Linked DNA regions of Struthio camelus. The protein of the gene in region 1 interacts with the protein of each later gene in a pairwise test. Links are inferred from orthologs where the notes say so. Each region holds a gene or a part of one and is shown on either strand. Other genes may lie near its edges.

What was found. The genes of interacting proteins can lie anywhere in the genome.
Region 2: the proteins of CDCA7L (region 1) and CTNNBL1 interact in binary tests that used the Homo sapiens proteins (3 or more experiments, as listed by UniProt). The link is inferred for Struthio camelus from reciprocal best matches to the Homo sapiens genes CDCA7L and CTNNBL1.

Annotation. Positions count from the first base shown.
Region 1 is NC_090943.1:36,864,097-36,871,958, forward strand, and holds the start of CDCA7L (cell division cycle-associated 7-like protein), read right to left. Parts: upstream 3,008-7,862; 5' UTR 2,945-3,007; coding exon 2,885-2,944; intron 1-2,884. UniProt on the Homo sapiens protein: Plays a role in transcriptional regulation as a repressor that inhibits monoamine oxidase A (MAOA) activity and gene expression by binding to the promoter.
Region 2 is NC_090959.1:19,226,455-19,233,546, reverse strand, and holds the start of CTNNBL1 (beta-catenin-like protein 1), read left to right. Parts: upstream 1-4,080; 5' UTR 4,081-4,298; coding exon 4,299-4,328; intron 4,329-7,092. UniProt on the Homo sapiens protein: Component of the PRP19-CDC5L complex that forms an integral part of the spliceosome and is required for activating pre-mRNA splicing.

The DNA of each region.
Region 1 (7,862 bases):
AAATAGAATAAAACACTCCTTGCTACAAACAGTATAAAATTCAACAATTCCCAGAATAACTCTGCCAAAGTATGTTTTTTCAGCAGAAGATCATCAAGTTCAACATACCCTCAACTCTGTTTCACCTTCTCTAAATTTGAAATAATAAAATACTGCCAGCGTACCCAAAAGGACACCCAAAACGGACAGACTGAGGAGAATTACTGTTCTGGTGGAACTGAGAGAACTTAGCTCATTTGTACCATGCAAATTGACAGACCCGTCACCAAAAGCAAAGAATGACGAAGACAGAAAACGAGGCTGGGAGAGACATTAGAAACTGCTCAGTGACATTCCTGTATTCAACACAAGTGACAGACAGTAAGACATCTGATGTTGCCACAGTCAAAACAAGGTGGTTTTTTTAACTGCCATCCCCTCAAACTTCACCTATCTTGTTAAGCAATTAAAAAGAAAAAGAAAAGCTTTAGGTGAGATTTTTTACTTTGCACATCAACAGTAAGAATTCTAGTATCTCAATTAAGAAAGGAAACGTATTGATCATACAAAACAGATGCAACTTCCCCTTCTGCACACTGGTGCTTTGACAGGCTAAAAAAAGATAATGCTTGCATGCATACCCTCTGTTTTGGTGGAAATCATGAAAATTAAGTTATTTGCACTCCACAAATATCTCTCAACGATTTTAAATATTGCCTTCATTGCCAATTATTCTACACTGGCATGTTTTTCTGTAACAACACACTGTCAGGAGGATGTTAAGTATGAGAAAGCAGGAGGAAAGGTAATTCTCTATTTTTGATTCTACCATGAAAAAAAAAAAAAAAAATCAACTGAAACATCCTCCCCTCATTCAAGCTTACACAATGTAATGGATGTTCCTATCTCAAGCACAGAACAAATAATTTCAGTAGTGTTCAAACTTTCTATTTATTCATTTCAGTCAAGCTGAAATAATCCTAGTTTAACCCCAAATGAGTATTTATAAAAACAAAATTTGTTTAAAATCACATCTTCAGCCAGCGCCGTGGAGATCTCTTGACATGTTCAGGGCTCGGTATTCAGGCAAGCCCATAGGGACGCTACCCAAGGGTCAAAGGCACTGTATTCAGCACGTGTCCCCCAAATAACAACTGAACAGAGAGGCAGTCCCAGGGTGACAATTATCACCAGCGTGACAAGGACAGAGAGACCAGCCAGAACGCTGAAAGGTGCCAAACCAAAAAACCAAAACTATTTGCAACTATTTGCAGAACAACCATAGTCGTTCTACTGGAACCACAATGGTGAATAGCATGGTACGAGAGCTCCATTTTAAACCTCATACAAACATCTGCAGAAGAAAGGAAAGGCAGGAGCAAAGTCATGTGTCATGGTGGGGAGGAATCACACAACTACACACATGATCATACTGACTATGAATACCATCTGAACAATTTGAGACACAAGGTACTCCCCCCCCAAAAAAAAGAAAAAAGGAAAGGCAGAAAACCAGGGAGGATACCAGGAGTTTTCAGCAAATTCTCAAAAGCATCAGAGCACAAAACCCTGAAACCTGCTGGATGCTGAAGTATTCCCACCACCAGTGGTAACAGGGTGGAAAGCAAGAAAGTATTCCATGAAATTTTCGTAAATTGGGCCATGTTCAGACTAGCAAAGCACAGTTTCTACGCTGCTTTACTTAAAACTAGTAATTCAATAAGCTCAAAACCATCAAGCTACTTTATTCTAAAATAAAGAGTGCCTAACTTTTATCATGAGCGTATGGCAAATTATTAAAAATACTACCACTTATAGGCAACTACGTGAAAACTATCCCATACTTTTCAAAACAATTGATAACAATGTAAATACCAGCATGCCAGCATATGAACACAGTCCAAATGCTGTCTACTGCTACTAACTATTCTTTTGTACTATCTCATCTCTCACCGATCCAAACAGTAGTAACTGCTTTTGCCTAATTAATTTTGCATAATTCAAGAGTATCTCTTTTATCTGTGGTTTCTAATTGTTTTCTGAGTCCCAGAGACCCAAGCGCAACAGCTTTATACAATGTCACTGGCTCAAGGAGTTGGGCACTATGTATATTTTAACGGTACAAATAGAAACAGGCACCACGGTTCAAGAGACCGCTGCGCTGTTTCATGGAAATTCAGGCATGTGACCGGTCCCCTCTTCATGTCCGGACTGCCAATGTCCAGGCTTTTTGGGTGCCAAAGCTTAATTAACCAGGGCCCCTTTAACAAACTCCAAATACTGAAACTGCCGTACAAAAATCTTTTATATTAGACCTTGGAATGGGAAACAGACCCAACTGCTGATCTTGCAATTCAAAGTAATTTTGTACTACTGGCTTACTTGGCAATTACTTACAACGGGGACACGCAGTTACTTATAAACGAGCTTCCTAGCCAGCAGATGACACATCACTTCAGGGAGGCAAGGAAACCTCAGTCCTTCTGGTTCAGCCAGAACCAAACCCACTGCCAACTAGCACGGCACAAAAAGGAGCAAGAGCCAGAGGAAGGCCACAGGCCCTGCGCAGTCAAAAACGAGCTCCCACGAGAAACACGGGAACCCAGAAAAGACCGCCTCTTTCTCCCCTTTGCTGAGCCTTAAAAGAAACATAACGTGCTAGCTTTTAGCTCTTCCGCAGAAAGGTGCCTAGCAGATAAGAGCCTCTCTTTACAGCATCAGCTATGACAAGTTAGTGCTATTCACGTCTATTGCTCCTTGCCAATCAAAGGTTCTCAACGCGCTTTCCAAACAGTGAGCCTTTTACAGCACCGCCGCCCTTATCCCCACTCTGCAGGTGGAGAACTTGAGGAACTGGCTACACAGAGGTGGAAAGTTTACCAAGTACCACGCAGGACACACGTACCATCCAGTGCTTCGGTCTTTCTACAGCATCCCTCGATTCTTCTTCCACAGAAACCCACATAAAACTCAAACCTTCTTCCAGCAAAAGCGATTAAAACGCTGGTTCCACCTCCTCCCCCCAGCATGTACCAAGACGGCAAACACACAAGCAGCCTGGTGTGTCTAGGCATGTGTCGCACCTGCACAAGACCCCCCTTAGGTGGGCAGATCACAGCACGCTCGTCCTTGGAGCTCTAAAACCCCCAACGCTACCAATACGCGTAGGTAGTCAGGCGATGCCCGTAACGCGCTGCGCATACTTGCGAGGACATAAATTCACTTTCAAACAAAAACAAGAGAAGACAGAATTATGAAAATACGCGCTATTTTAAAAAGCCACAACTCCCACTCTTCCGGAGCAGGCTTTTCGTTAAAAAAAAAAAAAAGAAAAAACAAAAACGCTCCTCTCCAGCAAGCTCCACACAACGCTCCCAAACGTTACAAACGCCAGGACGGCACGAGCGCCCCTGAAACGGCGCGGTGCTCTCTCACCGCGGCGGCCGGCCGCACACCGGCGCGGGCCGCCCTCGCCCCCGGACCGCCTCGGCGCCGCCGGGCCGGGCCGGGCCGGGCCAGAGCCGCCCCCCGCGGGGAGGAGCCGCCGCCGCCGACCCCCGGGCACGGTAAGGCGGCAGCCCCGCCGCGCCACGTGGATAGGGGGCCCCGCCAAGGCCGGATCTGCCCCCAAAACAGCACCGCTCGCCGTATTCTGGGGGGAGGAAGGAGGGTTTCTAACGCCTCCCGGCCGGGCCCAGCTTCGCCAGCGGCGGCGGGACCGGCAGCGCCGCCTCCCCCGCGCCGCCCGCCGCCGGCGGGGGCGAACAAAGGCCGCCGCCAACGCCGCCGCCGCCGGCCCCTGCCGGGGACGGCGCAGAGCCCGCGGCGGCGGCGGCGGCGGCCGCTCCACGTGGCGGGCGCCGGCCGGGCCAGGCCGGGCCGTGCCCCAGCGCGGGCCCGTCCCCGTCCCTGTCCCCGTCCCCTCCCTGCCCGCCGCGCCGCCCCCGCGGCCTGCGGAGGGGGCGCGGGCGGCCGGTGCCGCGCGCCGCCGCCCCCGAGGGCCGCCTCACCTTGCCGCGGCTCGTCGCCGCCGCCCTCGTCGCCGCCGCCCTCGTCGCCGGGCCCGCCGCCGCCGCTGCTGCTGCCGCCGCCGCCGCCCCCCGGCCGGCCGCCCGCCGCCGCCGCCCGCGCCGCGCCATCGCGCGAGCCGGAGCCGCCGCCGCTCGGCTGCTGCGGGGCGCGGGAGCGGGAGGGAGGAGAGGGGCGGGGAGGAGCGCGGGGGCGCCGCCGCCGCCGGCTGCGCGGGCAGCGGGAGGCGGGCGAGGCGGCGGGGTGGAGCCGCCCGGCGGCGGCGGGAAAGGCGCGGGGGACGGGCCGGGCCGCGACCCGACCCGCCGGGGCAGCCCGTGCCCTCCCTCCGCCCCTGCGCGGCCGGCGGCGGCGGGGTCTCGGCTGCCCGGGGACCGGGCCGGGCCGGGTCGCTCCCCGCAGCGCAGCGCTCACGCGGGACCGGCGGGTAAGGGCAAAGGAGCGCTGCCGGCTGACCGAATAGGCGCTGATCCTCCAAATAATTCATCCTTTTTTGTTTGTTTGTTTGTTTGTTTCATATTACGCAGCCGTGAAGTACACGCGTTTTTCAAGACGCTAGAAAGACGGATGGAAATAATTTTTAAGTGCTTTCTGTAAGCGCTGCCAAGCTTTTCAAGTGGGGTACCTTGAACTCCCAGTTGTTGCGCCGGTGCAAAGTGAAGTCTAAAGAGGCAGCATATGACCTGTTGGGGTTTTTTTTCCCCCCCTTCAACATCAGATCTAGAGGAATTCAAATTTAAAAATGGTGCAAAGTAGACCAAGTTAGAGTATTTTAATAAAAGATGGAAAAAGTGAGAACATGTATCTTTTTTTTTTGTTTCCACAATTTATATTTTCCTAAAACAAATTCCTATTTTATTATATTCTTCCAGACTTCAGCTAGCAGGAAGAAAAAAGAACATGAACACAGAGAAACTATTATGTTTCTACTTGTCTCCAAATGGCCTCCTGTGTTCCTTGGTTAGGAGTTCTAATTTTTGTAAAAATTTACGATATTATAGGTGTCAAATTAGTACTAGGTTAGGCACCTTTTATCTGGTGATTACTGAATAATTCCATAAGCAAAACAGCCCTTTGGGCAGAGACCATGTCCCAGAGATCGTGGTCCCCAGTGAGCGCACTGCATGGTGGGACGGAGGTTCCTGCGCAGCTTCTCCCTGTCCCACTGACACTGTGGCTCCTCGATTGCTCAGTGCAGCATGAAACAGGTCACAGAAACCTGCTGAGATTATATTTTCCTGTTGTGGCTTTGATAATGGAAAAGTATAATTCCCAATATGCATGTAACTGAACTCTTGCATTTAGGCTACATTTTTAAAAGTTCCCCTCCTTTTCCCCAGTCTGCAAATTTCTTCCTGGGTGGCCCTGGAGAGTACCACTCATCTTCGCAGCTGCAGCCATCCTCTCCAACCGTGGCTGTTGCCAACCCCTGATCAGTGATCTCAAAGGGATGGGCTCTGCAAATGGTTCGCGGGTATAAAGCCCTCTCAGAACTGGCAATGGAATATCTCCAGTACTTGCAATTCCATAAAATTCATGTATGACCTCTTAACTGCACTGTTCTCTGACATCAGGGAAAACAGGAGAATGCTCACTGGCTCTCTCTAAGCCCGGGGGTGTGGGATAAGGTCTGGACATTTGGACCAAGAAAGCAACACGTTCATCTGCTATGTAATCTAGATGAAATAGGCCCATGATAACTGTCTTTGTAGTTTTGCATTAATTAAAGAAAAAAAAAAGATGAATGGGTTGTATTCCTCTGTAGCTTACCTTCAAACCCAATTGTGAATTACCACATGAGTAACAAATCCAGAACTCTTTGACTATTTTAATACTTGCTGAATGCCATCAAATTACTTGTTGTGTATATGTTTTAGTTTAGGGAGGGCTCCAACATTCATTGTGCAGTCTGCCTACCACAATGGGTTCCCAATCCTGATTAGGACTTTTAAATAGTGTAGTGTAGTGTAATTGACTTACAATAAGACTCACAAATGTAATTTTCCTGTAGGCAAGTGAAAAGACAAGATGAGAAATTATCTTCTTCTGTTGCTCTCTGAAAAGCCCCCCACAAAAGTGGAAGAAGAGCCTCTCCTTGTAGTATGGTATTTGATCCTCAGTGTAACACACGCTGTTTGAGTCCCAAGGTGGACTACCGAGCTGAGCCACAAAGTACTTCCAAGCCTTTATATTCCAGCCATATAGAGAGTAGTTGTTAGAACTGGATCTGAGGAAAAGTAGTTACATGCAAACAAAGAACCGTTTAAATACTCGCTATTTAAATACTGGTTTGCATTGCAATATCCACTGCAGACACCTGCGGTTGTCACTCAGGGTACAGGAATAAGCTTTGTGGATGAGGTAGGGAGGAGGGGAAAAGGGAATTTAGTAGAAGACAAAGCATGGGAATTACATATAATGTCAGCAAAATTGAACGTAGACTTTTCAAAATATGAAAGTGTATAAAATCACTTGTATAATAACACGTAGCCCATATACTCCTTGAAGATCTGTATTTTATGTATTCTGTTGCTGACCCTGGTTTTCGTTCTTTTGCTTCTCCCCAACAGTTTACAGTGTGAAGCACTTCATTTGTTAAAAGCTGTCAAGACACTAGCTCAGACTGTGAACAGCAGATTTGAAACGATTGTGTTGGCTGTCCTGTGCTAAATTAGACTGAATAAAATTGCATTCTGATTATAACAGAGATATGTGACTATTGTGCTCTTGCATATACATTAGGAACTGCCCAATAGTATCTTGTGCTATTTTATGCAATTTCTTGCTTTGTTTCTCTTTTTCTGTTAACTTTCCATTTCATTTTATACTTTCACAATCATTCTCCTTCCCAGCATTTTCAAGTCATTTGTGTCAGATATTGATCTTTATGCTGCTCTTTTAGAGTTGGGTTTCTTTAATTGCCTTGGTTTGATTAGATGGCAGCTGTATCTCAAATACTTCTCAGTGTGGATTTTCTGCTACTGCATTTCTGCCCATTTTCTTTACCTCCTTTCAAAGTTTGTGTATCTAACCCCCAATAGCTTTCATACTATTGCCTTGTCAGTAGAACCTCATCAGCTCCTCAGATGAGATACAGCTAGATTTTAGGTCCTCTTCAACCTTATATATTAAGCCTGAATTATTTTGCAACAGCTGGGTCCCGAATAGCCTCTCTTTGCTCCTCATTCTGTGATAGCATTGCTGATAATGTCTCAGTCCAGACTTCACACTCTTGAATTATGTAAAGAAACTCATAGCAGTAAGTTCTGTCTCGGGCTTAGGGTGACCATTATAATCGGACTAAAACTTTCTGAACGAAACCAGCATGTCCTGAAGGAATCATTAGCTGCTCTGAGTATGTATCAAGTATAGCAGCTCGATTCATTTTTGTGGGCCACCTCAGTAACATACTTGATGCACAGTAAAATTACATCATAGGACCAGCATCTCTCTGAAGTGGCCTTGTAAATGAAAAGTACGTTTACCGTTAATTTCAAATGAATAAATACCATTCTAGGTTATAATTCTGGACTTTGATGCTCTCATTTCACCAAACTAGATGCACATGAAAATCAGTCCTCACTCCTGAGCTGTTTTCACTGCTCCCTCCAAAAGTCTCTAATTTGGGGAGCCATTGTAATCATGACTGGGGGTTTCAGTCCTATCTTCCTGCCACCACATTTCTCTGAGACCTGTCAAGCATTTTAAGTAGCATGCACTTTCCCACACTTCTCAATGAATGCTGACGTACCTAACTTAAAAGGATTACTTTCTGCTGAGAGGAATTGTAATCCTCTTTTCCTGCTCTGCAAATCCTCTAGTAAGTGAAAAAGAAAGGCCAAAATCTGTTCTGC
Region 2 (7,092 bases), on another chromosome or scaffold:
ACAGTCCTTCCAAATTCTCCAGTCCTTTCCTGCAGCTTTGCAACGTGTTTAGAGGCTCCCTAGGAGAGGCTGGCATTGGGCCCCATTCAGAGCCCATGCTGAGGACGCTCTGCTTTTCTCCAGCCTTTCATTTACTTGAAGGTTTTTTTATACTTGATCTTGCTTCTGTTTCTGCTTTTAATTCAATATTTTGTCCCTGTGCTCCAACTCCCTTTATTGGATAAAAACACTCTGTTATTGAATCCTGCCCTGCAGCGGCTTGGAGAGAATTGTGTTTCCCGGACAGCAATAAGGTTGTTTTGGAGTGTTATGAGGCCGAGCAGAGCACGGAGACAGGAATAAGTCCAAAAGGAACCAGTGGTTGCTGACAGTTGTTTCAATGACAATTGCATTGCACTACGCTTTGTGGTTTCACACTCGACCTCTCCCTTTCACCCAGCACCCCGCGGGCTGACAGCGCAAGGAGCTCAAGGCAAGAAAATAGAAGCAAAAGGAAAGCTTTTGCAGGTTATTTCTAGGCGCTGTATGGAGACAGAGAGAGGTTTCAGACACAGCCTGGGGACCAGGGACATACGAGCCAAGATCCTTCCTGCGGCAGCGAGGCACCACTCAGCGCATCTGCAGGACGCCCGCCTGCCCTGCGCTGCAGCGGCCCCTCGGCGCTCCAGCCCGAGGAGCCCTGCCACAGCAGACGCTCCGGCTTCAACCTCGACCGCGTCCCGACTGCTTCCACTGTCCTGCCTGCACAACGCAAGTGATACGAGATGTCGGAGCCCAATGTTTGTTTTCTGTTACTGCCTTTCAGTGCCTTGTGTTTTCACGATTAATTTGCTCTCTCAGGCACACCGTTGGCAGTCTGTACCTCTGCTGGATTTTCAGCTGTCAGGGCCAGAAGAAATAGTACCTGAAGATTTGTGCCTTTCCCATGAGGTTGTAGATTTCTGGTTATCACATTTTATTTAGGATGGTAAATGCAGCTGCCACTTCTCAAATTCATGACTTTATGTTTTTCTGAATATCCTCACTGGCCTGCACAATATTGCCAAGGAAATGAACTAACTGATTTACTCTTTTCTATTCCTTTGCCTTCTGAGGTGAAGCTTCAGCTGGGAGTTATTGGGGCATTGTTAGACTTATTTGGGTCGGGCCTTTTTTTTTTCCAAATTGAAGAATAATTCTCTTTCGCAGCCTGTCTTCCTCCTCTCCAGTGCCGGACAGAATTTCCCAGTCTCCATTCGCAGACTCTGCAGACTGGTGCAGTCAGCAAAAACTTGGCTTTGCTGTGGAACTGCACAAGCAATATGGGCTCGTGTTTTTCTCTTCAGAGACACAATATCAGTGCCAAGCAGGAGGGAGGAATGTGACCTTGCTGGATACCCTTGTCTCCACTGAACCACTGGCTCGTTAAGTATCCTTTCGACACAAAGACCTGATGGCGATAAGCTATTGATTATTCTCCTAGTGTACCACGGTATTTGGAGGTGTTCCAGTGTGAACCACAGTCCTGGCTGTCAAATGCCTCTTGAATCCATGAAGTCTGACAGGAGCTGAGGTGTTGCCATTCGACACTTCGTTCAGCAATTTCCTTCGGAGGGTAATTTGGTGAACGTGTCACCTTTGGATTGGACCTCTGCCTCCTCTTTAGTTTAGTATCAACCGCTGCCTTCAGGTAAAGGTGCTATAGCCAAAGACAGCTCCTGGCTCTGAAAAACCTTCCAAATTGAGGGCTGAATGACAGCCCAACACATTCTTCCCAGAGAAGGCAGTCTGCGGGGTCCTAACTCCCCCGCTGCTGTTTCCCTGGAGGCCTTTTCTGTCTCCATGGCTAGAGCTGCAAAGCAAATAGGTGCTTTGTATTCAGTAGTGAATTACTACATGTAAAGTACTCTGAAGCCAGCAAAGTCTACACAAATAAAAATACTATTAAAGCAGTCTATGATTTGGCAGCTTAGTTTTCCTATGACTTACTTTATCCTTCTGCCAACATTGCATACGGAGGTCCTGATTCTGCATTTTCTGAACTGGCTGCCCTCTGAAGTGTCTCTTTTACTTCCAAGGCTAATGGGATTTTTTTTTTTTTTGGGGGGGGGGGCAGTATTGTAGCTGGAATGTTACCTGCCTCACACTGAAGCTACAAGGCTCAATTTATTTCTATGTATCTACCACTTTGAGAAGTGTGAGGAAAATATATGTTCAAAGTGCTATTAAAGAGTGAAAGGAAAAACATAATTTTAGGGAGATAATATCATTCAGCAAGAACAAAGGCAAAGGAACGGAATGGAGAGAAGAAACGTTGGAACAGCAAAAAGATCATGTCTGATGTTGTTACGTCTCCTGGGTTTATGAAGCTTCTGTCTGTAGATCGAGGGTCAGTTCTTATCTCCTTCTGTATTTTATTTATTTTACAATTGCTTATGTCTTGTTTATCACCATCACTTATCAGGCTTTCCAATAACTGTATCATGTTCACAAGTATATGTCAATACTCCTAGAATGACTTGTGAATGTTTTGGCTTCACAGCTGGTGAATTATCTAAATACTCAATAAAAGAAAGCCAGATGATCCAATAATTACCCTCTATTTATCTTGTCTTTAAAATGCAGATTTGTTGAGTTAATTTCGTCATGACTGATATGTCCTATAGTTTATTGAAACCACAGGGGACGCTATGGACTTCTTTCGTTGAAAACATTATATATATTTTCAATTTCATGAGTATTCTCAAACCAGACTCCTACTGAGATAACTGTGTAATAGCTGCAATCATTATGTTATGAAAAATTATTTAGCTCAAAGCTGTTTTTTAACGAATAGTTGAAATATATTCAATAAGATTTGGGCCAAGTTGACTCTTTCTTAATTATTCATATTTGTTAAACTGAAAAATGCGTCTATCGGTGGCTTTGCAGTTTGTTGAATTACAAAACTATTTGTCATGATCTTGAAAAACAGAGGGATTGTTACATCCCCCCTGCTGTACTCAGCACTCAGATATTGGCCTGTTTTCAAGGTGGCAGTGGTTAATGATGCTGTGTATAAACAGAAATGTGTTGCCAAAAAATGTTGGCTACAGACTTTGATATTTCCTAGCCTGTCTCAGCCCTGGGTAGGATTTGCAAAAGGCTACAGAAACAGGGTCAGAAGAAACGACTGATTTCAGGTGCCTCTGCTCTGCAGCGAGGAGCTCCGGAGCCGTGAGCGCGCTTTGCTGAAGTGCTGAGTTTCCTCAGTCTCAGAGCGGCTTCAGCTCCCAGCGTGATACGACGCAGGGCTCCAGCGGCTGCCAGACACATTGAACAAACATGAACTACAGCCTTAGCGTCGCTGCGTGCCCCACCGGGTCACGCGTCCACACTGCTCCCTCCGCAGTTCTGCGGGTAGATACTGGATGGGTTTAGCTTGGATGCTTCTTTTTTTTTGCGCCAGCAGCAAAGTCCTGATCTTAGGGGAGTGGGAGAGGTATGAGAGACATCCTCTTTGTATCGGGAATGCATACGAGTATTTGTTGATCTGGTAACTATTGTAGCGCAGCTGCCAGACTCACATCTGCTGGAACCCAAAACAAAAGGTGCAGCCGGCTCCCAGACACGCGCCTGAGAGCACAACAGCAGGGCCCAGCGTGCCAGGATGATCTCATCGCCTCTCGGAGGAGGTATAGCACGGCTGCACCAGGGCAGAAACGGGTAAACGAGGGCCCTGGTGCGGAGGGTGGGCGCGGCGCGCCCGGAGCTGCAGGAGCCGGAGGCAGGCGGGCAGGCGCGCTCCGAGGGCCCGCCTCGCCATCTCCTTGCCATGCAGCGCTGGCACCGCTGGCTCCCGCCGCCCGCTCCCCGCCGCCGCGAGGAGCCGCGCTTGGCCTCGCCGGGCTGCCCGCTCCGTGGCGGCCGCGGCCCCGGCCGGCTCCCGAGGCCCCCTTCCTCCCTCGCGGCCCGGCTCGGGCTCCATCCCGGGGCGGCTCCCCCCGCCCGGGGCTGCCCCGAGGCCCAGCAGGCCCCGCCACGGCCTTCCCCGCCGCACCGCGGCTGCCCTGACCTCTGACCTCCGCCCTTTGCCCTCCGCCCTTTGCCCTCTGCCGGGCTCTCCGGCCCTCGCATCCCCCACCCCTGCCAGCACCCGGGGCTGCTTTGCGACAGTGTGGCGCTCGCCCGCCTCTCACTTTCCGGCAGCCAGCCCTTCACCCTTCCCCTCCCGCCTCGCTTTCCGGTGGAGTGGTGCCCTCCCGCCTTCCCGTGGCGCCCTGCTTTACGGCGCGGTGTCGCGCAGCCCAGTGGTCTGCGGCGGTTGCCCGGTGGCCGCCATGGACGTGGGGGAGCTGCTCAGCTACCAGGTGAGCGGCGCCGCGGGGCAGGCCCGGCCCGGCTCGACTCGGCCCGGCTCGGCTCGGCCCGGCTCGGCTCGGCCCGGCTCGGCTCGGCCCGGCTCGGCTCGGCTCAGCTCGGCTCAGCTCAGGCGGCTCCCGCCCGCCGTCGCCGGGCCTGCCCGGGCGGCCGCGGCCCAGCGCCCCGGCGCTGCTGCGGCCTGGCGGCCCGGCCCCTGGCCTCTGGGGGCGGCGGGGAGGCGGCCTCGGTCCCGGTCCCGGTCGGGGAGCCCGGGTGAGGGGTCGGGCCGCGAGGCAGCTCGGCGGGGGCGTGCGGAGCCCGAAGCGCCCCAGGAGCCGCGGGCGGCGCCGAGGCACGGGGGAAGGCAGTGCGGCGGGAGCGCCCGGCGCTCCTCTCCTCTCCTCTCCTCCCCGGCCGTTGTGCTCGGGGGCTCCTCGGTGTACCTTTCCCCCTGAAAAAGGGGGCTTCTGATCCCGCTCGGTGCACCACGGCGTCCGTGAGCAGCATCGCTCGGGGGGGGCGTGTGGCTGCTCTGCCTTCCGCGGCTGGTGGGGACGGGGCCGTGCGTCCCCGCTGACCTGCGCCCCCACCTGCCCCTGAGGTAGAGCCTGTGCTCGTTCTGCGACTTGCGTTTTCATTCTTCCTTTTTCTTGCCTGTTTCGCTACAGAAGCCATTTGATATCATTTCTTATTCAAATCTTTTGAAAAAGTTTTCCTATTTATAAAACTTTCTTTTTATCTTATAAATATTTTTCTGCTCTTGGTGTACGATTGTGTTTTATTGAATATGTGGAGGCTAATTTGTAAGTAGCTGTGGTAAACCACTCATTTTTTGTCACAGCTGTAGATTTATAGCGTTCTCCTGTGGATAAGTGAATGACAAAAGTGATTTGTAATAACGTTTTAATTTCTCTGTTATGATTCTTATACACAAATACTGTTGACTTGTACTTTTATTCCTAGACAAACTGCAACAACGTACTTTCCCTGCTGAATCAGTAGGTAAAATAAAAGCATTCTAAAATCAAGTATTGAAATTGTTGTTGAAGGTGTTGTGTTGGCCTTGTGCTCTTCTGGTCTCTTACCTGAATACAAATGGCTTCCTGTGTCAGTAGGTTAGGTAACGCTTCAGAAGAAGTGCTGGATTTCTGGCATCATTGAACTCAGACCTCCAGAATTAGGCAGAAGGGTGAATACATGTGAGATAGGTGGGGGAACAGAAGGCAGATAAATAGTTATGATTTTGTGAAGGTGAGAATGCCTTCTGTGAAGGGGCTTAGGGCTGAAACTTAGAAACAGAAGTTGCAAACTACAGGTTTCAGCTGCTTCCATCCTAGAAAAGGTCAGGTACCCGCCGCTGCTGTCACAGGAAATGGCAGAATAGGTGCCCTCGCACCAAAAATATAAGTTTGGAAATGTACGTTCTACTCCACTGAACAAGTAAAATTCAAAATAATCCAGCTTCTATTCTGTTGTGACTGTGCCACAGAGAGGGTTCTGCCTTGCGCGTGGCAGAATGAAATCAGATAGATGAAGTGAGCATTGCTCCAAGCTGTCTGCTTGACAGAGCTGCTGCTCCTGAGACAGGGATGACTTAGTAGCTCATAAAACAGCTCCTGAACTGCTCCAATTTTCTATCTGATGTTTTAAGTTTAACTGGATTTGAGGTCAGGGTGCTTTCCTATATCAGACTGAAAAGCATGCTGGTTCAAGATTTCTTCATTCATCCTTGCTGCTGGGGTGGCAACTGCTGTCAGAAGAGTGGGCTAGATGATGGGTGGCGTGCGCTTCAGCTGTCTGATTTTTTTAATCTGTTGCTGCAGATGAGTTGCTCTTAGCTTCCCTCAGCACAAACCACAATAATTGCTTTTCTCTTATATTGTTTCAAATTTGTCTCCTCTAAACGTTTAATCTGTGCCCTTGATTAATCAAGAAAATGTTCTCCCTTAGTGTCAAACTTGGCATGGAAGATTTCAGGCACTGTGCTGCCAGTTCAGCATCAAGCGTTGATCAGAATAGGAAAGGGAACATCTTGCAACAGAAAATACAGTTAAACAGACTCCAGCACCTGGCAGTTTATACAAAGCTCAGGAATCCATAAACTTTATGTGTTGTTGCAAAACAGTTGCAGATGGTCTAAACTGCTGATTAAATGTTGCTGCTGTTCTGCCCAGAAAGACTGCCCAGATCCACTGTGTCTGGTTTCTGATTGCAGTGGGTAATTAAGGGGGACAAAGCCATCTCTGGTTATTTTCAGACATCTCTTTCAGTTGTCTTGGGAGGGGGGGAAGGGAGATTATTTTAGTTCTTGTTAAATGCAAATTTCATTACAGTGTGGGGTGATTACAAATTGCTATTTTTTTTTAAAATGAAATATTTGTAAAATCAAACAAAGGGAAAAGCAGGAAAATATGAGATAAGGTTTGACTTCACTGAGTTGGGCTGTCTTCCTGTTTGATTTCGTTAAATGTAGCTTGTAGTGGAATGTATCCCTATATATCAGTGCAGGTGCAGACTAATTTCTGCTACTGGTATAGATAATTTACTGTAAACTTGCTAACATAATGAATGCATTTGATGGTAGAGGCAGTTCAGTTGACTTGTAGGCTGTTGACTACTTACAACCTTATTACCCTAGCAACTCTTGTCATGCCTTCTGTTTAAAGTTATGAGCAGTCATCAGCATCAGCCTCTGTGTTCTCTTCAGATTGCCTGTTCGGTGCTTCTCCAGACTGCCCGGAGCTAGAGTGCTCTTTTGGTTAAGTTAGTGAA